Ovis aries: one gene and its partner. Each later gene encodes a partner of the first gene's protein in a complex. Links are inferred from orthologs where the notes say so. Each region holds a gene or a part of one and is shown in the gene's direction. Other genes may lie near its edges. The genes, in order: PLOD3 and COLGALT1.

Region 1 (15,481 bases):
CTGCCCAGATCAGACTTCTCCCCACAGCCCAGACTCCTTCCTGTAGCCTTTCCTCCTGCAGGAAGTGTTCCTCCCGCCCCGTCCTGTCCCTTAGATGCCACCTTTCTGCCCTCCCGGCGTCCCCACTCTAGTCTCTTCTCCCCGCACCTCCAGGAGGTGTACCACGAGCCCCACATCGATGACTCCTGGCCCCAGCTCCAGGACCACTTCTCTGCTGTGAAGCTGGTGGGGCCCGAGGAAGCCCTGACCCCAGGAGAGGCCAGGGACATGGCCATGTGAGTGAGCCTCGGGCGGGGCGCCTGCACCGTTCCCTCCCTTCCCCTGCTCCCCACGGTCTTTTTTTCCTCCCTCCTGACTTCCAGCTGGTCAGCTTCCTTCTACTCCCTTTCCCTCCTCTCTCTTCCACGGGTTGCGGGTCAGGGGAGTTCCACCCCCTACCCAGCCCCCGCCCCCCCCCCCACCTGCTCCTGTTCATCTGTGTTTTGGTCTGTTCCCTCCAGGGACATCTGCCGGCAGGACCCCAAGTGTGAATTCTACTTCAGCCTGGACGCTGACACCGTCATCACCAACCCGCAGACCCTGCGCATCCTCATTGAAGCAAACAGGTCTCTCTCACCGGGCTTGGCCAGAGGGCCCCCAGATTAGTCCCCAGGGAACCTCACCTCCCGCTCTGGCCATGGGGCTTGCCTCCTCCCTGCCCTCATCTGCGCTTGTCCACAGGAAGGTCATAGCGCCTATGCTGTCTCGCCATGGGAAGCTGTGGTCTAACTTCTGGGGGGCCCTGAGCCCCGACGAGTACTACGCGCGCTCGGAGGACTACGTGGAGCTGGTGCAGAGGAAGCGAGTGTGAGTCTTGCAGCCTCCCCCAACCCAGGAGCCCTCCCAGACCCCTCCATCCTGCCCCAAAGGCCCGAACTCGGGGGCCCCATGTGGCCACCACGAAGGCGTGCTGGGTTGTGGGGTAGCTAAGGACTGATGGTGGAGCCGGGTGTGAGAGGGTTGTGACCAGCAGGGCTTCCCTGGGGAAGCAAGAGGGACCTCGCAGCTCTCAGCTGCCGAGGGAAGGGGCTCCAGGGGTGAACTGGGCAGGACGGTGGGGGGGGGCAGGGGGCCGCCCGCAGGGGGCACCCACCTAGCTGACCCCTGTGTGGGCCTCCAGGGGCGTGTGGAACGTGCCCTACATATCCCAGGCCTACGTGATCCGTGGGGAGACCCTGAGGATGGAGCTACCCCAGCGGGAGGTGTTCTCGGGCAGCGACACCGACCCAGACATGGCCTTCTGTAAGAGCCTTCGGGACAAGGTGAGGGGGCCTGGGGCTCCTGGTGGGGGCGCTGGGGGGCAGCACGCTGGCTCCCCATCGCCCTCCTTACACCCTCTGCCCACTGCCAGGGCATCTTCCTCCACCTCAGCAATCAGCATGAATTTGGCCGCCTCCTGGCCACCTCCCGGTATGACACGGACCACCTGCACCCTGACCTCTGGCAGATCTTTGACAACCCCCTGGTGAGTCGGCAGCCCCTGGCTCAGATGGTTCGGGCCTTCCCTGAAGGGGAATGCCACGCCCCGGCCCCATCACACGCGCGTGCGCACTGGGCAGGGTCGCCTGCCGCCTGGGCAGGGGTCCTCCCAGGTGGGAGCAAGTGGTGTGAAGAGGGCAAAGGTCAAGGAGCACCCCCCCACTCTCCCCTAGGACTGGAAGGAGCAGTATATTCACGAGAACTACAGTCGGGCCCTGGAAGGGGAGGGGCTCGTGGAACAGGTGAGCCCCGCTCAGGACCCCGGCCCAAGGGGATGGCCGCTGCCCCTGGGGCCCACCACCTGGATGAGGGGTTCTCCCAGGGTCCTTGCCCAGGTGCCTGGGGGTTTTCTGCTCAGGCAAGACAAAGGCAAGGGCTGAGTTGATAGGCATGCAGCCCCCAGCCCAACATTCATCCCAGTGGTCCTCCCTTGTCCGTTGGGTGTGTTGGTGTATGGGTGAAATGACATTTTTTAAAACGAGGTTGAAAACCACTGTCCCAGAACCCAGGGCTCCAGCAACCGTGCTGTCTGTGCCGAGTTCTGAGCACTGCTCTCACCTTCTCTGGCCGCATCGGTCCCCTTCCTGACTCCCCCGACCAGCCCATCCCCACGCTCAGCTGCCCGTCCCTCCACGTTCTCTCCTGTCCTGGCTTACCTTTCTGCTCCCTGCTTTCTGTCTCCTCCCACTGGCTGCCTGTCCCCTTCTGGAGCATCACCCAGCCCTGTTTTCTTCTTCCCCTGCCCCGTCCTGACTCAGCCCTGCCCAGACGTGTACTGGTTTCCTCTCCTGTCTGAGCAAATGTGCGATGAGCTGGTGGAGGAAATGGAACACTACGGCCAGTGGTCAGGAGGCCGGCATGAGGTGAGGGGCCTGGACCGCGGAGGAGGGGGCCCCCAGGAGGAGGGAGGGGGCATTTCCCTGATTGAGGGAAAATGGAATCTGGAGAGTGGGAACAGAGAGGGGGTCCCCGAGCAGGAAAAGGCAGACAGGGGGCACCTCTGTATTCTTTCATTCCACCGTGCATTCAAGAAATACTCCCTGGGCAGGTCCTTAGACACCAGCCCCTGACCTGGACGTGCAGGTGGAGCTCTGCCCTCCACAGCCCCACCTGCCGTCAGTAGCAGCAGGGAGCTAGCTTCTGAAGTCTGTGATGGACAGCCTCAGTGCTGCGGGAGTCACAGGTGGGAAACTTGACCCAGATGCGGGGGGACCGAGGGCTTCACAGAAGAGGTGACATCTTCGCTGAGACTTAGAGGAAGGAGGTGTGAGTCAGCTAAGACGTGGCGGAGACTTCCAGAAGGAGGGAGCGCAGACTTCCAAGGCCTGGGAGCAAGAGGAGGAGAAGTTGGCACCACTGCGTCAGCTCTGTACCCACAGGACTCTAGGCTGGCGGGAGGCTACGAGAACGTGCCCACTGTGGACATCCACATGAAACAGGTGGGCTACGAGGACCAGTGGCTACAGCTCCTGAGGACGTATGTGGGACCCATGACCGAGAGCCTGTTCCCCGGCTACCACACCAAGGTGGGCCACTGCACGCCACCCCTGCTCCCTCCTCCGCCTTCCCACACCTGTGCTGGCTGGACGGCTCCACACAATGCCTTTTGGCCTGTGAAACATTTAAATAGGCCCCATAGAGTGAGATCCGGGCTCCCCTGGTGGCTCAGATGGTAAAGAAGCCGCTTGTGATGCAGGAGACCTGGGTGGATCCCTGGGTCGGGTGGATCCCTGGGTCGGGAAGATCCCCTGGAGGCGAGCACGGCAGCCCACTCCAGTGTTCTTGTCTGGAGAATCCCATGGACAGAGGAGCCTGGCAGGCTGCAGTCCATGGGGTCGCAAAGAGTCAAACACACAGAGTGAGACCTTGCAGGAGGGAAGCTCTGGGGGAGCAGCCCCCAGGGAGCAGTGAGAACCCTCCCGGCCATCCCCCCAGCCTCTCCTCCCCTGTGCCCGCAGACCCGGGCGGTGATGAACTTCGTGGTCCGCTACCGACCGGATGAGCAGCCCTCTCTGCGGCCGCATCACGACTCATCCACCTTCACCCTCAATGTCGCCCTCAACCACAAGGGCCTGGATTATGAGGTGAGTCCCTACCCTCCACTCAGGGTTCCCCCGGGCCCCTCCACACACACAGACACACACGCACTCCCCTCCCCCAGGCCCTGTGTCCAGCCCCCTCACAGGCACGGTCACCTCCCTGCCCCTTGTCTGCCCTCGTCACATCTCCCAGTGACCTCTGGGGTCATATTCTGGACCCCTTCTGGGCTGGCTACCCCCTGTGTCCTGTGTCCCCCATCTGCCGATGCTCACCCCTCTTGTCCCCTCCCTCCCTGATGCCCAGTTTGGCCTCTCTCGCCTCGGGGCAGCTCACCACCCAGTCCCCACGTCTGCGCACTCTCCAGCCCCTTCCCCTCTCGTCTCTCCAGGGAGGTGGATGCCGCTTCCTGCGCTACGACTGTGTGATCTCGTCCCCCAGGAAGGGCTGGGGGCTCCTGCACCCGGGCCGTCTCACCCACTACCATGAGGGGCTGCCCACCACTCGGGGCACCCGCTACATCATGGTGTCCTTTGTCGACCCCTGACACTCAGCCACTCTGCCCAGCCTTCCGTGCCATCGTGCCTTCCCGCGCCCTGCCTCCTGGGGCGGGGTGGGTGTGGACTCCTCGCCTCCTGGGTATATGGGGTCTGTGTGCCTGGGACTGAATGTGTCGCCTCGCTGCCCACCACACGGCCCTCAGGAAGCTCAGGGAGCCCCCTGTCCTGTTCCCCGGTCCCCAAGGGCTCATGGGGACAGGACCTCTGGGGGTTCGCTACATGATAAATTATTGTTTCTCAGTCTCCCTCTCAATAAAGGAGGGTTTGTAATTCTTGAGCCCATTTATTGTTTCATTACCTGTGGACCCCTTGTCCATCCCACCACCCAGGGCAGAGGGGACACCGAGGGTGACCCCAAAGGAGAACTGAAAAGGAGAAATGACAGAAACGTGATATTAGAGCAGAGTGGGAATCTAGAAGCTTCCTTGTCATTCCAGAGCTCGGGAGGGGTGTGTTGGAGGCCAGACCCAGAGAAGGACTTCCCCTGTCAGGATGAGATGAGAGGCCCCCACTCCCGCACAGCCCCCAAACTGTCGTCCCCTATTCTCTCCTCACCTGATGGCATCTTCTCCCATGCAGAAAGGATGAGAGAGGCACAGCCCTGAGCTAGGGTCCAGGGATAGTGCTGGGACACGCATTGTAGGAGGGAAGACAGGGTGGAAACTTATTGAGAGCGCTTGGACCTCAGCTTTTAGTCACATGGTATCAGGAGAGGGGAATCTGGAGGGTGAACCCAAGAAAGCTTCCTGGAAGAAGGGGAAGGGAAGCAGCCTTGAAAAAAAAAAAAAGACCTCCTAGAGCTGGTTTTGCCTCTAGTCTCAAGCATCAAAAGCTTGCAGAGACCCCTGGAGGTACCCTGAGGACAGCAGAGCAGGCCCCTTTAGCCTGGTCCTCCCCAGCCTTACACCAGCTGCCTTCCTGTGTTGATCTCCCAATGTTCCCTGGCGGACGCCTTTTAAAAATCAAGCACCTGTCCTAGGACATTTCCAGCTTCTAACAGTCCACTTGCATCCACAGCTAAATTGTCCTTCCTTCCTCCTACCCAGATTCCCAGGAAAACTTCATGCATGAAACCATCCTTCCATCCTTCCTGGACCCCTGGGTGGGTCACCTTCCCACGTGGACTGAGCGTCTCTCTGGCTAGACTCTAAAGTTCATCTCACCCAGGCCCCCACCACCCTCATCACTTGCCCTGTGATGCGAGTGGGCTGAGCAGGGATAGGAGGAAATATCCCTCTTAACAGAAGGTCCCTGGTCAGTGAAGCTGCATAGGTGTGAGGCCAAGGACAGGGGCAGAAAGGGTGTGTCAGCCTAAGCCTATCCTGTCTCCACCCTTCATTCACAGAGCGTCTCCCATGCGCTGGGCACCCATCTTGACGGCTGCAGTGATGAGCACAATTTTTCTGTTGCTCACGGTGTGTGGGAGACTTTGATCAGAAAATTGCCATGATGGGAGACTTGCCTGGTGGTCCAGTGGTTAAGACTTTGCCTTCCAATGCAGTGGGTGTGGCTTTGATCCCGGACTGGGGAGCTAGGATCCCACATGCCTTATGGTCAAAAAAGCAGAATGTAAACAATAAAAGCAACATTGTAACAAATTCAATGAGGACCGTAAAAATGGTCCACGTTAAAAATCATGGTGATGGAGAGAAAGTATTCTGTGCCAGGAGAGAATGTGATGCGTGACAGAGGCTTCTGACAGTTGCGTGTCAGACTTCCGTAAAAGAAGTGACATTTAACGTGGCTCAGGACTTCCCTGGTGGTCCAGTAGTTAAGAATCCACCTTACAATGCAGGGGATGCTGGTTCGATCCCTGGTCGGAGAACTAAGATCCCACATGCCACAGAGAAACTAAGCCCATGCAGCTCAACCCCTGGCTCCTCTGGACGGGGAACTCTTGTGCCAGAACTATAGAGTCTGTGTGCTGGAATGAAAGGTCCTGCTTAACACAGCCAAATGAATAAATTAAAAGATAAAGAAGTGACATTCAAAAAAAAAAAAAAAAAGACATGTCCTACCAGTGAGGAGGGTCAAGATGTAGGGGTGGGGAAATCAGCATCATCATAAAATACTGAGTTTAAGATGGGCTCAAGGATGTTTGTCCAAGATGGGAAATAGCGCCAACATGTTGTAGGAACTAGAAACGAGAAGTGACCTTTAGGGACTTCCTTGGCCAGTCAGTGGCTACGACTCCCTCTCCCCAGTGCAGGGGGTCAGGGTTCAATCCCTGGTTGGGGACCTAAGATCTCACAGGCTGCACTGTGTGGCCAAGAATTTTTTAAAAGAAAAGTAATCTTTAAAAATTGTATCAAAATGTTTTAAAAAGATTTTTAAAGTGACATTCTAGGAATTCCTTGTAGGTCCAGTGGTTAGGACTGCCCTCTTATGGCCAAGGGCCCAGATTCAATCCCTGGTCACAAGGCAAGGCGCAGACAAAAAAAATAATTAATTTAAAAAGGTGTCAGTCCCTGACCTGGAAAAAGTGGTTGCTCTGCAGCCTCTAGCCATGTTGAACAGGGCCATAGTCACAGTGAGGACTGGCCCGGCCGGCATGGATGGAGTGCTCACAGCCCAGGGGGCTCGCACTTGCAGGGGCTCCCCAACCCTTAGCCTTTCCCATAAAACCCTTCCCTCCAGAGGTCTCCCCACAGAGGCCTAAGTTGCTCCTCAGGGAGTAAATCCTCCTGCAGGTCCTCTAACCAACAGGGGCCAGGCCTGGGTGACAAATGGGGAGTCCTGCTGTGGAGGGTACACACACACACGGCAACTTCCACTGGCCCAGGACGCTGCCAGTGTGCTCATCACAGGGAGCCAGTCCTGACCTCCACAAAGTCCAAACACCTTCCTCACCGCCAGACTCCAAGCCATGTCCCTGGTCTCCCCTTTCGGCCCTATTGATCCCAACCCTGTGAACCCAAAGAGCTGGTTAACCCTCCCTTTCCAGAGCTCATGATGGTCCACTGTGCAGGTCAGCAGAGGGAGCAGAAAAGAGGGCAGAGCCCAGGTCAGGGGTCAGAGCCAGGGGTTGGGCCAGAAGACAGAAAGCTTCAGAGCCGCAGTGGCTCCTGTGTGACTCCCCTCTACAGAAGGCCAGCCGCCTCCACCGGCCTCCAGGTGAGTGCCCTCCTGCGATGGATCGTCTCCGTTTTGGAGCTTGGTGAGTCCCTGAAGCCCTAAGGACCCCTGGGTCTGGCTCTCTGTTTCCCGATGCCAAGGTGGGAGGGAGGCGAGGCTGGGATCTCTTGCCAGGGCTGGGGGGGTTCCTTCAAGAGATGAGAAAGATGTAGGTTGGACAGATGTACCTGAAACGATGGAACAGGGAAGGGGGTTAAGGGGAGAGCTTGGACTTAAACCTCTGGAGTCAGAGTCCTCACACCCCTTCCCATCACCTCCAGCCCAGGAGTGCATGACTGCCTTATTCCTTGTACTCCTGAGCCAGGCTTGGATCCTAGAATTCACTACCTGGATGGGCTCTATGGAGACAGAAATACACCTTGGGCAGGAGGCCGTGGCTGTGCCTGGGTCCCCAACTGGGCCACGTGGAGACATTTCTGGGACCACCTCCCCATCTCGCTGAGGCACTGTGGAGCTCTGTGCTGGGTGGGAGCTGGGCTTCAGGGTAGACCCTGGTCCCAGGGTAGACCTCTGGGGCCGTCACCCCCAAAGTCCAAACTTAGAAGCCCCAAACTGGTGTGCACCCTGTGTCCGCAGCTGGAGGCACCACAGTGTTGGGTCCCTCCTACAACTACCTCTTGGTGGAACCTTCAGCACCTTCAGCACACAGACCAACGGCTTCTCCCTCCTCATCCCTGGCCTCGAGCCCCACCTGCTCCAGCTGCCCCATCCCGGCCATCTTCCTGTCTTCCGGGACTACATCCTGTGTGCTGGTGAGCAGGGGAGCCCTGGGTCTCAGGACCCCCAGTCCCTGCGGTCACCTCCTCCCTGCCCTCCTTAGCCTCTGGGGGTGCCTGGTCCCAGCTGCATCTCCCAGTGCCTTCCTCCCTCTTTTCAGGAGGACTCAGATGTCAGTCTTCAGGCCTCTAACTGCACTGAGAGGTGAAGGTCCATGTTTGGGACCTGAAATTCTGGCAGCCAGCCTTGTCCCCAGGCTGGTCCTTGACACTTGGGCCGACCGTGAACTCTGTCCCAGTTGATCCTGGGGGCCGGGAAGAGGAGTTGCAGCAGCCACCTCTCTGGCCTCTCTCCGCCCAAGCTGGGTCCCCAACCCCAGTGCAGCGAACCCCGAGGCTCACCCCTGCGCTGGTGGATGGCTGAGTGTGGCCTCTCTGCAGCGGCTCTCCCAGCTTTCCAAGCGCACAGGACACGCTATGGCGTCCCCAGCCACATGCACCTCCTCCTCAGCTAGGCAGCCCCCAGCCCGCAGTGGTTCTGTTGTAGGAAAGGGGACCCCTTCCAGGGCCCGAAACTGGGCTCTTGTCTAACACTCAGAAATGAATTGTCTGAGGAGACACATCTGCTGACAAAGCAAGAGATTTTATTGGGAAAGGGCACCCGGGTGGAGAGCAGGAGGGTAAGGGAACCCAGGAGAACAGCTCTGCCACATGGCTTACAGTCTCGGGTTTTATGGTGATGGGATTAGTTTCTGGGTTGTCCTTAGCCAATCATTCTGACTCAGAGCCCTTCCTGGTGGTGTACACCTTATTCAGCCAAGATGGATGCCAGAGAGAAGATTTTCTGGGAGGTGGTCGGACATGTGGTGTCTCCTTTTGACCTTTCCTGAACTCTTCCGGTTGGTGGTAGCTAATTAGTTCCGTGTTCCTCAGCAGGACCTCCTGTCATAAAACAACTCATGCAAATAGTTACTATGGTGCCTGGCCAGGGTGGGTGGTTTCAGTCAGTGTGCTTCCCCTAACAGTTCCCTCGGTGGATGTCATGGGGACTGAAATTAAAGGTGGAAACCACCTGTGCTGTTTGTGCTTGGCTGGAATATCGACACGCCTGGCTGCACCTCCCAGTGGCCTAGACACTGTCGAAGACCCACAGACACACCAGGATCCGCTGGCCACACTAGAGATCACAGAGTCCCTAAAGCACCTGGGGGTGGGCCTTGGTGTCACGCCCCCAACTCCTCCCGCTGACTCCAGTGTGCTCTGCGAAGTGAAGGTTCCTTTTGGGGGCCTGAAATCCTGGCTGCCCTATCACAACAATAGCAGCCCTGGACTCTGTCCTGATTGACCTGCTGTGCTGGTGGGTTTGATGCTGAGAAAGATTGAGGGCGGGAAGAGAAGGAGTCGACAGAGGATGAGACGGTTGGATGGCATCACTGACTGGATGGACAGGACGAGTCTGAGCAAGCTCCGGGAGCTGGTGATGGACAGGGAGGCCTGATGTGCTGCAGTCTATGGGGTCACGAAGGGTCGGACACGACTCAGCGGCCGAACGGAACTGGCTGGTGGGTTTGTGCGCAGCATGGATATCCGCGTGCCTGGCTGCACCCCACAGTGGCCTAGACACTCCCGGAGACCTGCAAACAGAAATGGGGCGAGAGCCCAGGATCTGCTAGCCATTCTGGAGATCACATGGTCTCGGCTGAGACCCAGTCTGTGGGCTCTCTGGCTTCTTCTGTGACCCCTCCCCCACAAGATTCCTAATGCACCTGGAGGGGAACCTGGGTGTCAGGCCCTAACCCACCGCTCAGCCTCGCCCAGTGATCACACAAACCCACCCACTGGAGAAGTTTCAAGATCAGTTGTCAGGAGCCTGGAGACCTGTGGAGCTCCAGATTCAAAGGTCTCCACTTGCACAGTCTCCTGTGAGCAATCGCAGAAGGCCTCAGGGACTTAGCCACTCAGACTGGAAAGGTTACCCAAGCTCCTATCAAAGCCTCCATCCTTTGTCCCCCTGGTCCAGGAGCCCTGCTGGCAGAAGGGCTGCACCTGAAAGTCTCCACCGCCCTGATGCCTTCCCGCAGCCAGAAAACCCTGCAGAAACTGGCTGGAAGTAGTGAGCACCTGCCAATACATGCTCACTTTCCTCTTCATGGGTGAGCAGGGCAGTGCCCAGGGTACACTAGGGAAAAGGGGAGCCTAAGAATGGGGAGGGGAAGGAGAGCCGCACCTGTGTGGAGGCCCAAGACAAAGGGAGGGGGAGAGGTCCAGCTGGGAGATGGGTGGCGTTCTCACTGGTGAGAGTGGAGGGGAGAGAAGTCATTGTGGTTTTAAAAGCTAATTGATTTTTCTTTCTCATTTGTACCCAGGCCCTTTCTTTTCCTTTCTTGCCTTCTTCCTCCTCTTTACCTCCCTCTGGTGGCTCTCTGTTCTCTACTCCGTATGGTTATTCCTGGACCGGGACACACGCCGCCAAGGTGAGCGCTTAAACAAGGGTGCGGGGAGAAGAGGTGATAAAGGGTGTCTCCAGGAATTCCTCCACCCCGCCCTTATCGCTCTGCCCCAGACGGAAGGCGTTTTGAGTGGATGAGGAACCGGACAGTTTGGAAACACTTAAGGGATTATTTTCCCATTAAGGTAACAGGTCACCCTCCACCTTCTGCTTCTTCTCTGTCCCTTATCTGCCCCTCCCCAGGCTGAGTCTGAGCCCTGGCTGCCTAAGTTCAGGCAACAGGTCAGGCAATGGGATGGTGATCCAGAGGGCAGCCCTTGTGCCCTTGACACCCTAGTAGGACCTTGAACTCTCACGTCTGTTGGTGGGAAGAGAGGTCTTTTCAGCTGGTATCTTGCCTTCTCTGCTTTCTTCCCCTCATTCTGCCCACCCCCCTCCCACAGTTGGTGAAAATGGCAGAGCTGCCCCCAGACCACAATTAGCTGCTGGTCACTCACCCACATGTGCTTTGGACACTTCTGTAACTTCGCGACTGAGAGCGCGGCAGGCTTCAGCCCTAGACCACCGGGCTGAACAACCTCTTCTACCTTCCAGTCTATCGAGACTACTTTTTGTCATATGGTAAGTCTTGTCCCTGGTGGCTCAGACAGTAAAGCGTCTGCCTATGATGTGGGAGACCTGGGTTCAATCCCTTGGTCTGGAAGATCTCCTGGAGAAGGAAATGGCAACCCACTCCAGTATTCTTACCTGGGAATCCCATGGACAGAGGAACCTGATGGGCTACAGTCCATGGGGTCGCAAGAGTCAGACACGACTGACCGACTTCACTTTTCTTTCAAGTCTTGACCTGAGGCGAAGGAGGGGTCCCCCCACTCCTGCCAGAGTGGCCCACCACCCAGCCCCGGGACCTGACTTGAACATTGGCCAGGCTTACAGTGGGAGTCAGTGACTGGTCTGGGAGCGAGCATTCCACATCCTTGCTGGGAGAGGTGCTGTGGGGCACACGGACAGAGGCACGGGGATATGGAGCTTGGAAGGAAAGAGGTGGAGAGCTCATACTTCCTGTGCTAAAGGGCAGAGTGAGGGATTAGGGAGCCAAGTAGCGGGTACTGACTGTCCCTGCACCCCGTCTTGTCCACAGGAGTATGTTCTGTGAACCACCAGAGCCTGGATTTTACTCTGTCCACTCCCAGCTCGGCCAGGCTGTGGTCATCGTGATCGGCAGAGCCCACGAGGCCCTGTATGCCATCCCAGGGGAGCACTGCCTCACTCTCCGGAATCGTAAAGGCTTCGTCCGCCTGGCACTGAGGCACAGGTGAGTGGGGGCCCAGCCAGGGCTGCCTTCAAAGGTCAGAACCTCACAATGTCTCTGGGGATCTGCACTCTATCCCTACACACCGGTCCCCTGGAGGTGGGCTGTGTGTCCCCAGAGCCTCCACCGTGACCACATCTAGGCAGACCTTGGGTGTTTCCTCTGTGCCTAGCCCTGGTGCCCCTTCCCCAGGCTTCCTCCCACACAGAGAGACAGGATCACAGTACAAACTGCTGGACCTTGGGACTCAGACACCCTGGGTTCACAATCTTTTACGACACCGTCTCACAGACAAGAACTTGCACACTTCTTTTTTTTTAAATCCATCTATTATTTATGTGTTCATTTTGGCTGCGCTGGGTCTTCATTGCTGTGTGGGCTTTCTCCAGTTACAGTGACTGGGGTCTAGTCTCCAGCTGTGGTACGCGGGCATCTCTGTGGTGGCTTCCCCTGTTGCAGATCACAGGCCCTAGGCGCACCGGCTCAGTTGAGTACACTGACTTCATGCCCTACCGGATGTGGGCCCTTCGGGGACCAGCGATCAAACCCATCCCCTGCATTGGCAGGTGGATTCTTAGCCGCTGGACAACCAGGGAGGGCCCCACTCTTCTTTACTTGTGATACAGGGTTAACACCCACGTTTCTGCCATATGGTGGTTGGTAACTGTGTGGAAAAATGTATAGAGGACAGCCCAGTACACACTCGTTTCTCAAGAAACATAAGTCCCTTCTCCCAGAGAGTTCTTTGTAGCCACTGTCATTTGCTTCAAACGGTCTTGGGAAGTGGTATCTTGTGGGGGAGAATGTGGGGGCACTCCTAGACCCCTGATCTGACTAGCCGTCTTCTCTCTTGCACACACACACCCCCCCCCCCCCCCCCCCCCACAACCAAGAGCCTCCCTGGTGCCTGTGTACTCCTTTGCGGAGAATGACATCTTCAGAGTTAAGGGTTTTGCCCCAGACTCCTGGCAGCATCTGTTCCAGATCACCTTCAAGAAGCTCGAGGGCATTTCTCCTTGCATCTTCTGGGGCCGCGGTCTCTTCTCAAACAAGTCCTGGGGCCTGGTGCCCTTGGCCAGACCCATCACCACTGTGGGTAAGCGCCCGTGTCCAGGGGAGAAGGCCAATGAGAGCTGCATAGGCATCCGAGGCCGCTCCCCTGACCTGTGTTCCCCTGTCCCTGCAGTGGGCCGCCCCATCCCGGTGCCCCAGTGCCCGCAGCCCCCCGAGGAACAGGTGGACCGCTATCACGTGCTCTACATGAAGGCTGTGGAGCAACTGTTGGAGGAGCACAGGAGAGCTGCGGCCTCCCGGCTTCTACTCGCCTCACCTTCGCCCTGGCCTCACCCGTCCCCACCTCCTGGCCCTCCCAGCCCCTGATCCCAGTGCCCGAGCCGCCCACCGGCTGCCATGCTACTGTGCCAATAAGAGCCAGTTCTCTCACCACTGCTTCGTAGAGTCTCTCTGGGCGTGAGCCTGCCCACGTGGGTTCCATCTCCACCTGATCGAGACAGACTCGCTGCCTGAGACTGACAGCAGGGCCCTGAATTCTGCCCCCAGAGACTGAATTCTCTCTCGGCTTCCACCTAATCTCTTCCCTTGGCTGGGCCTTTCTCCTTCTAAATAAAGGCATCTGCTTAGCTAAGAGTTATAGGGCCTAGAATGGTATTGGGGAAGGTAGATCCCTGAAGAACTATTCTCTGAAGTGTGGACAGGATTAGGTGGGTGCAGACAGTAAGGTAGGTGGTGAAATACTGTCAACAAAAGCTGACATGGATCAAGAGTACCTCTCGGAAGGGAGAGTTGGAATGAGCCTTCGTGATAGGAAAGAAAGAGTTAAGTACACAGCTTCCTTTTGCCTCTGCTCCCATCCTTCCTGTTGCCTCGGGGCTGGGAGCTCACGTGATGCAGGGGTTTATTTTACCATATGAAGCCCTACTGCAAGCCCAGCATTAGGTCCACCTGACCTCATTCACTCAGTGAGAAGGGATTCTTGGCAAAACTAACTTATTAGGATCAAAAACTTTAACAGAGTTTGGCAAAAGAAGAGCCAGTGAATTTATCACTATCATGTCCGTCACCACCACCATCATCATCACAGGCATGGCACCAGTGAAATATTGTGAGGGACTTTATGTGATCCAGTGGATGGGAACCGGCCTGCCAGTGCCGGGGACGCAGATGGGACCCCTGGTCCGAGAGGATCCCACGGAGCGACTAAGGATGCCAAGGACCAACTAAGCCCAAAGGCCACAGAGACTGAATCTCTGTGGGGACCAGGAGCCGCAACCCCTGAGCTTGGAAGCCACAACTACTGACGCCGTGAGCCTAGGGCCTGTATTCTGAAAGTAGAGAAGGCTCCACAATGAGAAGTCCATGCACAGCAAGGCAGAGTAGCCCCATTCGCTGCAACCAGAGAAAGGCCTTGCACACTAACAAAGACCCAGCACAGCCAATGATAAACACATAATTTGAAATATTTGCAAGACTTTTTAAATTTTATTTTCTTCTATTTTATTTTTAGCTGCGTTGGTCTTGCTTTTACATGCCGGGCTTTCTCTAGTTGCCCAAAGCCAGGGCTACTCTCTACTGGCGGTGCACGTGCGTCTCGGGCCCTGGCTTCCGTGTTGCTGAGAACAGACTCTAGAATGCTCAGGTTTCGGTAGTTGTGGCTCCAGCTAAGTAGTTGGAGCACGTAGACTTAGTTGCCTCACGGCATGTGGAATCTTCCCTGACCAGGGATCGAACCCATACCTCCTGCCTTCCCAAGAAGATTCCCAAGTGCTGGACCACCAGGGAAGTCCAATTTGCTTTTCATTAAAAAATTATTTTAAAAAGTGATGATCCAGGAATTCCCAGGTGGTACAATGGACGGGACTGTGAGTTCACAATGCCTAGAGCCCTGGTTCAGTCCCTAGTCAGGAAGTAAAATCCCACAGGGCAAGGCGGAGCTCAACAACAACAACAAGAAAGAACACTTACCTTGAGCTGAAAGCTGCCGGTTCACCACCTCTGGTCATTGTTGACCTGGGCCATGGATAAGGTGAGGACTGGCCCCAGTCCACCTGAGGGTGTGCCCAGCGCAGTGGACTCTCTCTTAGAGGGGCTCCCCAGTTCCTAGCATTTCTGAAAAACCATGCCCCCAGAGGTCTCTCCACCGGGGCCTAAGCTACTCCTTAGGGATTAAAGCTTCCTGCACATTCTCTACCCCTCAGGGGCAGGCTACGGGGTTAAACGGGGAGCCCCGCTATTCAGGATACACACCCACAAGGCAAGCCCCACTAGCACAGACCTCTGGCCCAGTGAGCCCAGGGACCAGCTGGAGTCAATGCCCAGATCCCAGATCAGATCGTTGAGCTTGCAGACCTGCAATCAGAAGGGATTTGCCAAGTTGGCACTGAACACCAGTGAGGAACGCGGGGGTGAGGGGGGTGGGGGGTGGTTGGTAGCCGGGCCTAGCCTCTGGGGCAAGGGTGCTGGGGAGGAGCCCCGCCTCTGGGGCCCGGGAGTCAGGAGTCCCCTGTGCCCCCAGAGCCTCGCCGGTGCCAGTCTTCTCTTTGGGGGAAAATGAGGCCTTCCACAGTTTCTGAACGCACCGGGGTTCTAGGTGGAAAGACACAGGAAACACTGGGCCGCTGCTGAGAGTGGCTCTACGAATGTTCCAGGCCCCAGGGCCTCCTCCTGCCCTTCCACACCTGAAACCTCTGCCTGCTCTGCTCCCAGCTCCCCAGCCCGCTCCCTGCTCCCGGGCTCA
Region 2 (15,571 bases), on another chromosome or scaffold:
CACACAGAGCAGTGACGGGTCATGGGTGTGCAGTGATGATTGTTTTATATCCCTTTATATGCAGATGGAGACCAAGCCCTGACCCTCCCGTGTCCCCACTGCCCCGAATCCACCGGCTGACAGGCCTTCCCATTTTGTGTTTCGCATCAGCGGAATCACACCATGTGCTGCTCAAGTGCGGTATCTCCCCCTCAGCGCCCCTGTCCGTGCCGTCACTGGCTGCTGAGTGCGGCTGTGACTCATTCCCGTGCCTTGCTGTCTCGTATTCCATGTAGACGTTCAGCTACAGATCTATCTACTCTTAGCTGTGTTGTCGGTCACTTTACCCATCCTCTCTGGGGCATGCAGGGCATTTCTTGTTTGCCAGCATTGCAGAGAGTTCTAGACATGCCTCTGTAGGTGCAAAGTTAGGAGATATTTACCAGATTGCTCTCACTTCTTACGTCAGTTACATCAGGAGTCCCCAAGAACATGTTCAGGTTGGGTCATCTACTAGAAGTACTCAGAGCTCACTGCAAGCTATTAAACTCACAATTTATTACAGCAAAAAGACACAAGTTGCAGTCTTGGCAAAGGGAAAAGGCGCGTGGGGCAGCATCCAGGAGAGTTCCGAGCACAGGGATTCCTGTGTCCGTTCTCTGCGGAGTCGCATGGACAGTGCTTGCTTCTCCCAGCGCTAGCGCACGGCAACATGCATGGCATACTGCCAGCCCGGGCTGCTCCCCAAGCTTCTGCGTCACGGGCTTATGCTGGGGCTCATACAGATACAGCTGATGCCATGTGGCTGACCCCCGTCTCCAGTCGCTGTAGAGCCTGAGCCAAGACCCCAACCCTAAGTTACACTGTTGGCATAGATACCCATTATGGCCCAAGGCCTGAAATAAACAAAGACATTTCCAAGGTCTTCAACTACCCAGCAGCAGAGAGCAAAGGCCAGACCTCTCTGTGGTCAAGTTTAATCCTTCACCCTATGATAGGTCTATCAATGTTACAAATTTTTTTTTTTTTTGGTTAATTTGACTGTGTCTGGAGTTAGTTGCAGCCTCTGGGATTTTCCACTGTAGCTCACGGGCCCATGTGCCAGCTTAGTTGCCCAGAGCATGTGGGATCTTAGTTTCCCAACTAGGGATTGAACCTGCATCCCTTGCACAGGAAGGCGGATTCTTAGCTACTGGATGACGGGGAAAGTCCCAAGGGGTGTTGCATTTTTATATCACTGTGACATAGCTGCATTGCCTTGCTCTTTCTGGACCTTAATATGCTCCATTTCCCCAGAACTGATACTCCACTTCCCACAGGCAGATCCTTCCCACATGTACACCCCAAGGGGAGCAGGCAGAGACTGAGAAAGAGAGGGAGAGTAATTTGCAGCCGGATTCTCAGATCCCTAAGCCTTGCCCTTTTGGGTCCCAGGGTCCCCTGAGGATGGCAGCAGGTGGCAGGGAGCTGTGATGGGTCCCGAATAGGAAGAAGCCCCAGGGTGCAGTGTCCCTAGAGGAAGAGGCCCAGGCTTCGAGGTGGGAGGCTCCGGGTGGACTCTGGGCCTCACCCAGGCCTCTCCTAGACAGAGGGGCCTGTGTCTGCCCTGCTAGCTCACACGGGGCCTTTGTTCTTGGGGAGGTGGATGCCACGCTCACTGGCATGCTGGGCTTTTCTGGGCCTCAGCAGGCTCATAGTCCCCTGTGAATCTATTCCTTCTATGGGAAACCATCAGGGAAGGGCCAAGACAGGGCTCTGGGGATGTGGTCTGAGCACTGCCCACAGCAGCTAAAAGGGGAGCGCTCATGACCACCCTGAAATTCTTAGCATACCTGGGCTTGTAGACACCACTCCAGTCACACGGCCGCCAGCTCCCTGTGTGTCCTCACCCCGTCTACCCTCCGTGGGGGTCTCTGTGTCCAGATTTCCCATTTTTATAAGGACCCCAATCATACTGATTACATGCCAAGTGTATATGTGCTAGTGGCTCAGTTGTGTCTGACACTTTGTGACCCCATGGACTGCAGCTCTGTTCAGGGGATTCTCCAGGCAAGAATACTGGAGTGGGTAGCCATTCCCTTCCCCGGGGGATCTTCCTGACCTAAGGATCGAACCTGGGTCTCCTGCATTGCAGGCAGATTCTTTACCGTCTGGGCTACAGGGAAAGCCCATATTGATTAGAGCCCACCACCCTAATGACCTCATTAAAGATCCTATTTGTAAACAAAGTCACCTTCTGAGGTACTGGGGATCAAGATGCCAGTGTACCTTTTGGGGGGAGGACACAGTTTAACCCAAAATAACATGTGATTTCATGGCATCGCCTCATGATAGAAACCTCGAGAGGTTTTTTAGTCCATTTTCAAGATTGAGGGAAGGAGGAGAAGGGGGCGACAGAGGATGAGATGGTTGGATGGCATCCCCAACTCAATAGGCATGAGTTTGAGCAAACTCTGGGAGGTAGTGAAGGACAGGGAAGCCTGGCGTGCTGCAGTTCATGGGGTCGCAAAGAGTCGGACACAACTGAGCGACTGGACAACACAGATGAGGAATGTCATTCCTTTGCTTGATTTATGAGTTTGTGCCAAGCTCCTTGTTGGGTGCCAGGGAGCCAATGTGAGTGGGTGGACCTGGGGTCCGTCTGGTGGAGCTCACGGGAGATAATCAGAGAATTGGGACTTAAGGCAGCCGAATGAGGCTTTGACGGAAAGCTGGGTGCTGTGAGGGCCTCCAGAGAGGTACCTGACTCAGCCTGGGGAGGTCAGGAGACTGCTGTTGGTGCATCGCCCCCCTCCCCAAGACATCTTAGCTGATAACTCAGGGAAAGGAAGTGAGGAAGGAACAGGGTTTCAGCGAGGCCCAGCATGTGCAAAGGTCCAGAGGTAGGACTACGGGATGGATAAGTCTGGAGCAGTGCCAACAGCCAGAGTGTGTAAGAGGCAGAGGAGAGAGACTGGCACTGCTTCTGTGGGTGGGGCAGGGTCAGGCAGGGTCTCTAGCATCAGGCTGAGGAGCCTGGGGTGACACCGAGCCATGCAGAGGTTGGGGAGGGGGCATCAGGAGCGAGGCTGGAGCCCTCCGTCTCCATGACCCCCTGCTGACCCCTCGGCTTTGCTGCCCCCCAGTGAAGCACCCACCCTCGGAGCCCTCGCGGTTCATCTCAGTGCCCACCAAGACGCCAGACAAGATGGGCTTTGACGAGGTAGGCTGGGCCTTCCCTCAGGGTGGGGGCCGGGGGCCGGGGTCCAGCCCGGGTCCAACAGAGGCTGTGGGCCGCAGGTCTTCATGATCAACCTGAAGCGGCGGCAGGACCGGCGGGAACGCATGCTGCGGGCCCTGGAAGAGCAGGAGATAGCGTGCCGGCTGGTGGAGGCTGTGGACGGCAAGTGAGTTGAACCGTGCTGGGGGAGGAGCGGCGCCACGGGTGGGTATAGACCACCCTGATGGCCCCGCGGCGGGGGCGTGGGTCTGACGCTGGCCAGGTGCTCAGACCTGCGCATGGGTATAGACCACACCCAGGCAGGCCACATCCGGTCCGGGATGGGTTGGGGGAGGGTGGGGAAGGGAGGCTCACTAACTGGTGGGATTGTGGATAAATACAGTCTTCCTCTGCCTCCCACCCCTCCCCACTTGCAGAGCCATGAACACCAGCCAGGTGGAGGCTCTGGGCATCCAGATGCTGCCGGGCTACCGGGACCCCTACCACGGGCGGCCCCTCACCAAGGGCGAACTGGGCTGCTTCCTCAGCCACCACAACATCTGGAAGGAGGTACCTCTGGCAGAGGGGCGGGACCCTCCTCAGCCTTTTTTTTTTTTTAATGTTATGTATTATGATTTTTATTTATTTGGTTGCCTCCGGTCCTAACTGCAGCACTCAGAATCTTCCCTTCACACAGGGGCTTTTCGTCGCAGCTAGGGGATTCTCCAGTTGTGGCTCTCGGAGTCTCTAGTTGTGGCTCACAGGCTTAGTTGTCCCACGGCATGCTGTATCTTAGTTCCCCTACCAGGGATCAAACCCGTGTCCCCTGCGTTGGAAGGCAGATTCTTAACCACTGGACCACCAGGGAAGTCCCCTCCTTGGGCTTCTTAACAGCTCAGGAAGGGAATCCCCTGCACCCCAGGCAGGCTTCCAAAAACACTGCAGGACACTCAGCCTCTCTGCTTGGGTGAATATGGCACCTGGTGGGGCAGCTGCCATCTTCCCACTGTGCAGATGTGAGTCCTGAATCTGAGGAAGAGTGAGCCTGACTGTAGAAACAGGTGGGGTCTGAGGCCCGGGACCTCCAAGTGAAGCTTCTTCATACCCAGCCACTGTCAAGAATCTAGAGCCTGGGCACCATGCTCAGAGCTTACTAATAGGAGCACCAGCCACAGTGATGTTAACTAGTGCACAGCCCACACATTGGTGTCCCATCAGCCACAGAGGCTCATCAGACACCCTGGGAGGGAAAGGGTATGATGGGCGAGGATGCCAGATGGGGCTTCGAACCTGGAACCATCCAACTTGAGGCCACATTTGGTGTTTGAGGCAGTGCATTCTCACCCAGGTTGCTCTATTTTTCTGACATTCATCATGGAAGGTATGGGGCAAAGGTTGCGGTGTCCAGGAAGCTGTGGAGCCAGAGGGGATCCAGGTTCAAGTACAGCCCTGCCTCTGAGCGGGGTGAGCTTTGTGAGCAAGGAAGGCATTTCCCAATCTGAGCCTCATTTTCCCAGATGAAGAAGAGAGTCTTCAGCCATGAAGACTAGCAAGTTCATTCATTCAGGGAAGATTTGTCAAGTACCGACTGCGTGCCCAGCCTGGTGCTGGGCCAGGGGACACGACAGCCCCCAAGGCACACCCAGCCCCCCACAGGGGATTCACAGCCCTAGGAGCTGGGGAGACTGATGCTAAACCACAGAGAAATGACTAATGTTGAAATAAGTGAGAGGCACCTACAGGAGAGGTCCAGGGTTATGAATCGTCCTAAACTAGCAGTTTTGGGTGATAGTCATGAAGGATCTCTTTAGTTGACGTTGGAACTGAGGCCAGCAGGGTGAGAGGGATCCTGCCTGCTGCTGCATGGGAGAAGGGTGCTCTGTATCAAAGGCACAGGGCAGGCCCAGGCCCTGGGGTGGGAAGGGGCAGCCAGGCTGAGGCTGTGGAATCTGCTTCCAAGTTGTAAGGAGGTTTTGGCCAAGAGGTAGATCTGAACTTGTGGTGGTGTGTGTGTGCGTATTTTGCTTTTTTCCTGGTGCCCCAGACCTCTTAAGCAGAACTAGCTTTGGGGTCAGGCCCAGGCTTGATCTCTCCAAGATCTCAGCGGGGCCTCCTCCCTCAGGTTGTGGACCGCGGGCTGCAGAAATCCCTCGTGTTTGAGGATGACCTACGCTTCGAGATCTTCTTCAAGAGGCGACTGATGAACCTTATGCGGGATGTGGAGCGGGAGGGTCTGGACTGGGACCTCATGTGAGTCGGGCCTGGGTGGGGCCGGAACTTGGAGGTGTGGCCTGGAGACTAGCTCTGAGGGCCTTTGCAGGGTAATAGGTTGGGTTTTGTGGGAGGTTGGCAGGAGGACTCATACTTGACCTGGAAGTCGGGGGTCCTGGAAGCCTGCCAGCTCTTTCGGGGCCTGGAGACTTGCCTGGGGCCTTCCTCTTAGCCAGTGTGGCTGAGATTTGACTTGGAAGCCTGTGGGTGTGGCTAAAGAACTTGGGGGTGTGGCCTGGGTGGGTGTGGTCAAGGCTTGGAAGCAGGGCGGAGCCTTTGGTGCCGAGTGTGGGGGGTGGCCCAGGGAGCCTGGATCTTAGACCACTTCTAAGTGGAGGGTGGCCAACGTATTTCCAGAACAGTCTCATGTAGGTGGGTTGGTTCATCCCTCCCCTGTGCAGAGCCCTGATCCGGGTTCTGAGCCTCAGACTCACCAGCGTGTCATTAAAATGAGCAGTAATGGGTCCCCTTCACTCCTGACCGCTTTACCTGAACCCTCCACCTTGCCCACCCGTCCCACTGCCCTCTGAACCCAGAGCAGCTTCCTTCTCAGTCGCACTCTGCTCCTTGTGGGCCCTAGACATCTGTGGACCTGTTCTCACCCAGTCCAGTCACACCAGCCTCCGCAGTGCTCCCCAGTTCCCCCACCCCAGGGTCTGACAGCGGCTCAGTGGCTCCCTGGGTTAGCATTCTTGGGCAGGTAGACAGGCGGAGGGTGAGAGAGCCCCCATTCTGCACCCCAGCTACGTGGGCCGGAAGCGGATGCAGGTGGAGCACCCCGAGAAGGCTGTGCCCCGCGTGAGGAACCTGGTGGAGGCCGACTACTCGTACTGGACCCTGGCCTACGTGATCTCCCTGCAAGGCGCCCGCAAGCTGCTGGCTGCCCGGCCGCTCTCCAAAATGCTGCCCGTGGACGAGTTCTTGCCAGTCATGTTCGACAAGCACCCAGTGTGAGCGGGGGCGGCAGTGGGCAAGGGGAGCTGGGGTCTCGCTGTGCAGCTGGCCTGGTTAGGGGGTGTGAGGCTCGCGGGCCCCAGGAGGGGGCTTCTCCTCTGCCTTCTTCCTCTGCCGCTTCCTTCATGAGTCCCCTTCGCCACGCGCTTCTGTCTCCATCTGTCTCTGACCCCCACCCCGCTCCTCCCCTGCAGGTCTGAATACAAGGTCCACTTCTCCCCTCGGGACCTGCGCGCCTTCTCCGTGGAGCCCCTGCTCATCTACCCCACGCACTACACAGGGGATGACGGGTACGTGAGCGACACGGAGACCTCAGTCGTGTGGAACAACGAGCACGTCAAGACCGACTGGGACCGCGCCAAGTCCCAGAAGATGCGGGAACAGCAGGCCCTGAGCCGCGAGGCCAAGAACTCCGACGTGCTCCAGTCCCCGCTGGACAGTGCCGCCCGGGATGAGCTCTGAGAGCTCTGAGGGGCAGTGGCCGTGAAGCCAAAGCAGTGGTCGCTGGCCCGGCCCCCACACGCCCACCGGGGACCTGTGGCCCCTGGCAGGCCCCGGAGGGCTCCCCTCACTGGGCGGCGTCCAGCCGGCTCTTGCTCAGCAATCACGTGCACGCAGGCAGCATTAATGGAGTGCCTACTGTATGCCAGGCGGCCTGGGTGGGAACTGTTCATCTCTGGGTGCACCCAAACTTGGATTGGTTGCAGGGTGCCAGGTTCCCTTGCTGATGGAGTCAGTCATCAAGCGTTATAGATCCCCCATCAAGAATCAGGCCCTAGTGATACACATTCACTGTTTCAATTCCTGCGAGTATTTATTGAGTGCCTGCTGTATGTAAGGCACCATCCCAGGCTCTGGGACAAGTGAGGCATACTTTCATTTGTTTGAGCACATACTGAACACCAACTCTGTGCCCGGTACTTGTGACACAAAAGTTCTTACCGACTCAGTGCATTTATGGAGTGCCTGCTGTGTGCCGGGAGCTGAGCATGGTGCTAGGGCGGAAGATAATCAAGGTGCTTTTCACTCTAATTGGTTTCTTCTCCACACATCCAGAGAACATCTCCTGCGCTAGTGAAGCAGGAAACCGGACAACAGCTGTTCAGTCAGCATTCGAGCCCCCACAGAGGTGGGCGAGTCCTTCCATTTCTTCATGCAGCGAGCACTTACTGCGTGCCTGCTGTGTGCCTGACCTCGCGGACTCCCGGTGGGGCTGACTGAGTTTGATTCCTCTTCTGCACCACCCCCGTCACCTGAAATGTGTGTGCATAACATCCCCCCACCACTGCCCAGGAGCAGGGGTGACTTCCCTCAGCAGGGAGAGCCACGAGTTTCAGTGACCCCACGCCCTCATGCAAGGCTCCCCTAGACCCAGCCCCCCTGGAGGGGGCGAGGATCCCCCTGTCCTCGGTTGCTTGGCCGCCCTGCCCTGCATCTCAGGTGTGGTCTACCTGCTTGATGGCATTCTTTTGTCCAAGCCTCTGGTGGGATCATGTGTTTGGGGCCTCGGACGGGCTCCGCTGCACTGGGGCGCTATCCATGGCCCGGGCAGGAAGTCCCCCAGCACAGCCTGGAGGACTCACCGTGCCTTCAAGCCTGAAATGAATGTCAGAACCGGCCAGCGGTGCCTCGTCCTCTGAGGGGTAACTAACTGTTGTCCCGGTCGGGTTCTGGATAACTTGCTTATTTTTTTATTAAATGTTCCTGGTTGGGTTTTCACATACATCTGTGTTCCCTTCTTGGCCCGATGGTCTGCTCATCACCTACACACCACCCACACTCCCCACCCCCTGCTTCAGGCCAAGACATGGGAGGAGACCAGGTGCTGGCGGGGAGCCAGTGAGGCGGGTGAGGGCGGAATGAGAGCCTGGTGCCCCAAGCGCCCTGTGGAACTTATCCAGCATAGTGCAGGGACGACAGACGGCCAGCCGCACTCTACCCTCTAGGGTCAGCTACAGGACTGTCTCAGAGGACAGAATGAGGAGGGCGCGGTCATAGTTTGGAGTCTCAAAAAAATAGACCCTGAGATGAGGACTTGAGTTATCCAAGAGATGACCCCCAGATGGCCCCCAGGGTGACGCAAAGAAGAGCGGGAAGGAGTCCTGCAGGGGTCGCCAGTGGGCCATTCAGTTCAGTTCAGTCGCTCAGTTGTGTCCGACACTGCGACAGTGAGCCATTAACTACAGTAACTGGGGACCTTAGATGGGGCTGAGCAATATATAGCATCGACCTTAGAGTGGTCCCAGCCCCCAGATGAGGGAGGTGGGGCATTTATCCACCCTCAACAACATGTACATTTTCTGGGTCAAATACTTAAACGTTTTCAAGATTCTTAAGCCCTTAGGGCTTGGAGGCATATACCGGAGGCTTTTACAAAATAACAGATGGTGTGTGATTCTAGTGAAGAAATGAGAATTTACAGCTAAGCAAACTGAAAAAAGGCAAAATTAAATCATACCTCCTCAGAGACAACAACTTAACGTTCTGGTGACAAAACTTTCCAGTCTTACCCATGTGCATGGTGCAAATATATACATGTTTTGAAAAAGAAGTTTCATATTACATAAACTCTGTTACAGCCGGCTTGTATTTTCTCCCACACATTTTTATTTCAGAAACACAGGATCAAATTGTACCCTGGTTTTTTTTTTTTTTTTTTTTCACCCGCAGCAAGGTTCTTTATAACTTTAACAGCATATTGTGGACATTCTAATCAGCACAGGCACCTACCAGCTCTTTTTGGATTGTTACATACAATAAAAAATACCATAATCAGGATGGACCACCATTTACTCAATCATCCTGACCGAAGAATATCACAGTCCGGCAGTGAACGGCATTGTACAACACATCTTTCCTACTGGATTTTTTATTTCGGTTGGGTAAATTGATACAGATGAGATTGCTGGGTTAACAGAAATGAACGCTTGATGTTTCAGTAGAGACTACCATATTTACTCTTGTTAAATCCTAACTATTCATCTTTGTCTACCAGGGTGTCCAGTCCCCTCTCATCAGACACTGGAATCATTTCTCATGCATTACTGTTGCGAGTGATGGTTCCATATCTTAACTCTAAGCGGTTAAATTAGGATTTTAAAATTTGGTGGGTCACTATTGGGTTGTGTCTCTCCAGGATATCTGGTGATGTCTGGAGACATTTCTGGTTGTCATGACTGGGGGTGGGTGCTATTGGCATCGGGTGGACAGAAATTAACCATGCAGTGCATGGAGAAGGTCCATAACAGAGAATGATTGGGCCTTAAAAGTCCACAGTCACACCCAGTTCCATTCAGCCTCCTGAAGACATGAGCCTCTAGAAGAGACTTCTTCATGGCGTGAGTAAAATTTCCTTCGCTATGAAATGTCTCTGATTCAAATGTAGATTCTTAGGCTCTGTTTCCAAACTGAAGAGGTCAGAATCTTGGAGGTGATGCCTAGGAACCAGAGTTTTATTTAAAGGGCAGCAGAGGGTGAGATGGTTAGATAGCATCACCGACTGTGAATCGGGAAATTCTGGGAGATAGCGAAGGACAGGGAAGCCTGGCATGCTACAGTCCATGGGTTGCAAAGAGTCGGACATGACTTAGCCACTGAACAACAGCAACAGTCCAGTTGTCTATGGGGCATTCCAGGTGGCACAGTAGTAAAAAAAAAAAAAAAAAAACCCCACCTGCCAATGCAGGAGACGCAAGAGACTCAGGTTTGATCCTGGGTTGGGAAGATCCTGCTGGAGAAGGGAATAGCAACCCGCTCCGATATTCTTGCTTGGGAAATCCCATGAACAGAGGAGCCTGGCAGGCTATAGTCCATGGGGTCGCAAACAGTCGAACAAAACTGGGTGACTGCGCACACACGTGGGTATCTTGTTATCTAACTTGGATCTCTCCTTTGCTCTCTGAAACTGGGAGAACCACATCCTTCTAGAACATTCCAATAGAACTGGCTTACCAGGGGGAACTGAGGCTCCCCACCCTCACAGAAGGGGCAGTTGGGAGATTCTAGGAAGCTCCAACTTGGGGCACATACCTTGTATCTGTCTCCATCAGAACTGCCTTTCTTTTATTGTTGTTCTGAGTTTTGGCCATGTCGTGTGGCATACAAGATCCTTAGTTCCCCGACCAGGGATCAAACCTGTGCCTCTGCATGCAACCATGGAGTCTTAAGCCCTGGACTGGCAGGGAAGGCCCACAACTGCTTTTCACTGAACAAGGGAATTTGAATTCCAAAATATCAGATGTTTCCATGCCCCACTGCCGGCAGTGTGAAGTGAAAGCAAAACCAAGACATCTCCGATTGCTTCTGCCTTCCAACCCTCCACTCCCGCCCGAGGGCTCCTGTGGCCTGTGGACCTGAGCGCAGACACTGATGCAGGGACTTCTCGCAGTGTGGCTGCAGCTCTGCAGCCTCTTCCCAGAAAGGAGTTGGGTGGGGGCGGGTGCTGATGTCAGCCCAGCACTCCCTCTCATTTAGTGACTGTCCATTGTGATGGTGGGAAGAATGACTATGTAATTACAGACTGCATAATCATAGAAACTGTTCTGTGTAATTGCAGGATTAGGAACTGAATAATTATAATGCAGTGTAACAAATTACGGAATGAAATGTAATCTCTCGTAGACATCACAGTCATGTTACACCCTCCAGGGACTGAGTATGCATTTTGCTGACTTTCTCTGAGAGAGCCTGCTGTGTTGGCAGGTGTCATGACGAAGAGGTGTGGGGAGACAGTGGGGTTACGTAGTTTAAGGGGGAGCCGAGGGTTCAGGTGAGAGTGGAGGGTGGGGTGAGTATAAGGAAGGTGGTGATAGAGTTTAGCCTAAGGTTGGGAGAAGTGAGAAGAACCAGGAGGGGAAGTTGAAGAAAAACGGATTAAGTCCTGTACCATCCTCGTGGTCCAGTAGCTAAGACTCTGAGGTCCTAATCCAGGGGGCCTGTGTTCCCATCCCTGGTCAGGGAACTATATCCCACACGTTGCAACTGAGAGTTTGAATGCCACAACTAAAAAGCCCACATGCCTCAACTAAGACCCAACTCAGCCAAATAAATAAAAAATAAATATTTTTTTTAAAAATGGATTAAGTCAGGGGTTGGCAAACTATGGCCTGAGGGCCAAATCTGGCCAGCCATGTTTCATCGTTGTTGTTTTTTTTTTTAAACTGGGACTTCCCTGGTTGTCCAGTGGTTAAGAATCTGCCTTGTAGTACAGGGGACTCAGGTTCGATCCCTGGTCAGGGAACTAAGATCCCACATGCCCTGGGGATGCTACTGAACCTTTGAGCCACAGCAAGTGGCGCCAGAGGTAAAGAATCTGCCTGCCAATGCAGGAGACACGAGATATGGTCTTGATCCCTGGGTTGGGAAGATTCCTCTGGAGGAGGAAATAGCAACCCAATCCAGTATTCTTGACTGGAAAATCCCCAGTATGGTAATTCTGTTTAATTTTTTGAGGACCTCTCATCCAATGCTCCATAGTGGCTACACTAAAAAAAAATATTTTAAAGCGTTTATTTATTTATCAGGTCCCAGTTGGGTGGAGGAGCCTGGTGGGCTGTAGTCCGTGGGGTCGCTAAGAGTCGGACACGACTGAGCAACTTGACTTTCACTTTTCACTTTCATGCATTGGAGAAGGAAATGGCAACCCACTCCAGTGTTCTTGCCTGGAGAATCCCAGGGACGGGGGAGCCTGGTGGGCTGCCGTCTGTGGGGTCGCACAGAGTCAGACACGACTGAAGCAACTTAGCAGCAGCAGCAGCAGCAGGCAGGATCCTTGTTGCAGAGTCAGTAGTTGTGGCACACAGGGTTCATTGCCCCATGGCATGTGGGATCTTAGTTCCCCAACCAGGGACCAAATGACTGTCTCCTACATTGGAAGGTGGATTCTCAACCACTGGACCACGAGGGAAGTCCGCGTTTCCTTCTTTCCCTCCCCATTTCTTTTTAAAAATTTACTTATTTTATTTTTGGCTGTGCTGAGTCTTCCTTGCTTCGAGGGCTTTTTTCCCAGTTGCCGTGAGCGGGAGCTCCTCTCTAGCTGCGGTGTGCGGGCTTCTCATTGTGGTGGCCTCTCCTGTTGCAGAGCGCAGGTTCCGGGCCCGAGGGCTTCAGTAGTCGCAGTACACAGGCTCAGTAGTTGTGGCTCACAGGCTTAGTTACTCTGCAGCATGTGGGAGCTCCTGAGATGAGGGATCCAACCTGTATCTCCTGCACTGGCAGGCAGATTCTTTACCACTGAGCCAGCAGGGAAGCCCCCGATTTCTTTTTTAAAAATTATTTACTGTTCATTTTGGTGAAACTCACATAATATCAAAGTAACCAATGAAAGTGTACAATTTAATGCCATTTGATACATTCGCCAAGTTATGCGAACATTTTCATCACCCCAGTGGAAACCCAGTACTCTTGAGCAGGCACTCCCCAATGTCCCCTCCCTGCAGCCCCTGGCAATCTGCTTTCTGTCTCCTCCTCTGGACATTTCATATGAATGGAATCATATCTGTGCAGTCTCTTCCGTCTTATTTCTTTCATCACCATGCTTTTTAGGGTCATCCACATTGTTCATGCATCAGTGCTTCTTTCCTTTTTAAAGCCAAGTAACACTCCACCGGATGGATGGACTGCACTTCATCCACTCATCTGTTGATGGACACCTGGGGTTGTTTCCAGCCCCTGACCAGTGTGAGCAGTGCTCCCCTGAACTAGAGCAGCTTGTTTTTCCGAGCAAAGTTCTATCGTCACTGAACCCTGCCATCATTCACATGTGGCTGCTTTCATGCTACAGTGGCAAAGTTGAAGAGTGGTGTCAGAAACGGTGTGGCCTAAGATATGTACTAGTTGACTCTTTACAGAAAAAAATTTGTTGACTCCTGAGTGAATGAGTTTGGGAGCTGGGTCACCTGGGAGAAACTGCTAGGTTTTTTTTTTTTTTACTCAATATGTATTTTTTATTGTTGGTGACAACGTGTTAATTTCTGCTGTACAGCAAAGTGATTCAATTATACATATATATGTATATTCTTTTTTAAAAATATCCTTTGCACGATGGTTTATCGTGTTATATGTGTGTTAGTTGCTCAGTCGTGTCCATGTGACCCCATGGACTGTAGCCTGCCAGGCTTCTCTGAGAAAGAGGTTTCCCAGGCAAGAATACTGAGTAGATTGCTATTTCCTGCTCCAGGGGAACGTCCCACATCCAAGGACTGAACCCTGGTCCCCCACACTGCTGCAGATTCTTTACCATCTGAGCCACCAGGGATGCTCTTATGGTTTATCATAGGATATTGAATATAGTTCTCTGTGCTTGTAGAAACTTCTGGTTTTGCCCCAGTAACATTCTTAACTATAACTATGGTTGAGAAAATGGCCGCAAAGAGCACACTTCCCAGCATCCTTTGCAACTAGGTACACGCCAGAGGGAGGTTCTGGTCGGAGGACTCCTAATGGAAGCAATGGTCACAGCCTCTTGGTCTTGCCTGAAGGGATGACATTTGACCTCCTCAGGCCTTCCCCCTTTACCACCAGCTGGAGCAGACATCTTGGACCCTGAGGGAGAAGAAGCAAGATGAAAAGATGGTTCTGCATGGCCATATCAGCCCTGGTAATATAATATAATTGTTATGCTCCGAGCCCATATCTCCGAACCGACGGAGAGAGCAAGTCCACCACAGTAATGCAAAAACAAGAAGGGAGTTTATCTCTAGCGTGCTAGGGCTCAAGTCTCATCCCACACAAGGGAATCCGACAAGAGCAGCGAACAAAGGAGTATGGCGGCTTATATACAGGCAGTTCTTTGTCTCAGTTACAGGAGTAGCTGGCGTTACATGATTGGCCAGGCAGGATGAGCGCATATCCTGTCTCTTTCTGGTAAACATGACTCAGGTCCTAGAGACCGTCGTTTGGTCCCTAACATTCCCCCCTGTCCTTAGATCATATAGAGGAATCTTCCTCTCGGTCCTGAGACACAGTTTGATATTGTTGTTGAAGCACAAACAGCTGTACGGTATTTATGCGTTCCTTCACAAAGGCTACAGGTCTATTGATAATGCATGGGCCAAAGGTAAGCATTAGTAAAATACTAGCAGGGGTCCCAGCAAGGTGGAGATTAAGGTAGTCAGCCAAGGGGATTGTTGAAACCAAGATTCAAACCATCCCTGTTGAGCCTCACGTTCTCGTTTACATTGGGCTAGTCCTTCTCTCACTTTGGCCATAGATTGTCTAACTATTCCTGTATGATCCACATAGAAACAGCACTCTTCTCCTAGCGCAGCACAGAGTCCCCCTTGTTGCAGAAAGAGCAGATCTAATCCCCTCCTGTTTGCTTTTTTCTGGATTGAACCTTATTCTGATTTGTGCATAATTGCAACTTTCACAGCTAAAAGTTGGATCTCCAAGGACCCTAGGGAGGGGCTTGGCAAATGAAAAATTAAGTAAATCTCGATTTTTTACTTCCCAGGGCCGAGGTCCATCATTAGAAGTAACACAATCCCAAGTTTTACAATAAGAGTCTTGTGCCCCCCCACAGAACCCTTGTTCTCAGAGATAACCCCTAGCCCAAGGCACATTTACCATCGGCTTAAGGTCAAAGTATAAGTCTGGCCACCATGTGTTTGGTGGATGTATTGCGGTAGTGGAGTTTAGCACCTCTCGTGTTAGTCCGTTTTGCAGCTTCCAGGTGATTTTGACGGGTTGATGCAGGTTCACGCTGGCAACTCCAGAGCAGAGTAACTGGGTCATCTACAAGAGGGCCCAGCCGAGTTGTCCTGGTCCTTTTGGCGCCTTCGAAGCTTTAGCCTCAAGGGGTTGGACGGGTGCAGAGATGCTTTCCATTCTTTTTTAGCGTCTTCTTGCTCTGCTGAAGCAGCTGGGCGTACGTGGTTGCAATGCACCCAAGGCCCGATACTGTCAACCTTTAGGGCAGTTGGGGTGGTAAGAAGAACAACATAAGGACCCTTCCATTTGGGTTCTAGTGCCTTGGTTTGGTGTCTTTTGACCCACACCCAGTCTCCTGGGCCAATGTCATGTGAGGGAATAGTTCCCTTATTTTGACCCACATGTATTTCCCGGAGCAGTTTCCAGACACAAGAGTGCACCTTGCTTAAGGCCATCAAGGCCTCTTGGAGTTGCCCCAACGTGGGAGGCGGCAGTTTTTTCCCTTCAAATATTGGACAT

What was found.
Region 2: the proteins of PLOD3 (region 1) and COLGALT1 are in contact, whole or in part, in a cryo-EM structure (PDB 8ZGE), measured with the Homo sapiens proteins. The link is inferred for Ovis aries from reciprocal best matches to the Homo sapiens genes PLOD3 and COLGALT1. Residues at the interface, in NP_001075.1 of Homo sapiens: Leu226, Val229, Val230, Leu231, Lys232, Phe233, Asp234, Arg235, Arg241, Gln261, Tyr264, Leu265, Pro275, Gly430, Ala431, Leu432, Arg440, Glu442, Glu446, Arg452; in NP_078932.2 of Homo sapiens: Ala36, Tyr37, Phe38, Pro39, Glu40, Glu41, Arg42, Trp43.

Annotation. Positions count from the first base shown.
Region 1 is NC_056077.1:35,920,213-35,935,693, forward strand, and holds the end of PLOD3 (multifunctional procollagen lysine hydroxylase and glycosyltransferase LH3), read left to right. Parts: intron 1-153; coding exon 154-275; intron 276-500; coding exon 501-605; intron 606-720; coding exon 721-846; intron 847-1,159; coding exon 1,160-1,301; intron 1,302-1,390; coding exon 1,391-1,504; intron 1,505-1,691; coding exon 1,692-1,760; intron 1,761-2,276; coding exon 2,277-2,381; intron 2,382-2,897; coding exon 2,898-3,044; intron 3,045-3,476; coding exon 3,477-3,602; intron 3,603-3,946; coding exon 3,947-4,102; 3' UTR 4,103-4,392; downstream 4,393-15,481. UniProt on the Homo sapiens protein: Multifunctional enzyme that catalyzes a series of essential post-translational modifications on Lys residues in procollagen. Plays a redundant role in catalyzing the formation of hydroxylysine residues in -Xaa-Lys-Gly- sequences in collagens.
Region 2 is NC_056058.1:5,310,394-5,325,964, reverse strand, and holds the end of COLGALT1 (procollagen galactosyltransferase 1), read left to right. Parts: intron 1-3,104; coding exon 3,105-3,181; intron 3,182-3,258; coding exon 3,259-3,365; intron 3,366-3,615; coding exon 3,616-3,748; intron 3,749-5,300; coding exon 5,301-5,428; intron 5,429-6,192; coding exon 6,193-6,399; intron 6,400-6,597; coding exon 6,598-6,865; 3' UTR 6,866-8,126; downstream 8,127-15,571. UniProt on the Homo sapiens protein: Beta-galactosyltransferase that transfers beta-galactose to hydroxylysine residues of type I collagen. By acting on collagen glycosylation, facilitates the formation of collagen triple helix. Also involved in the biosynthesis of collagen type IV.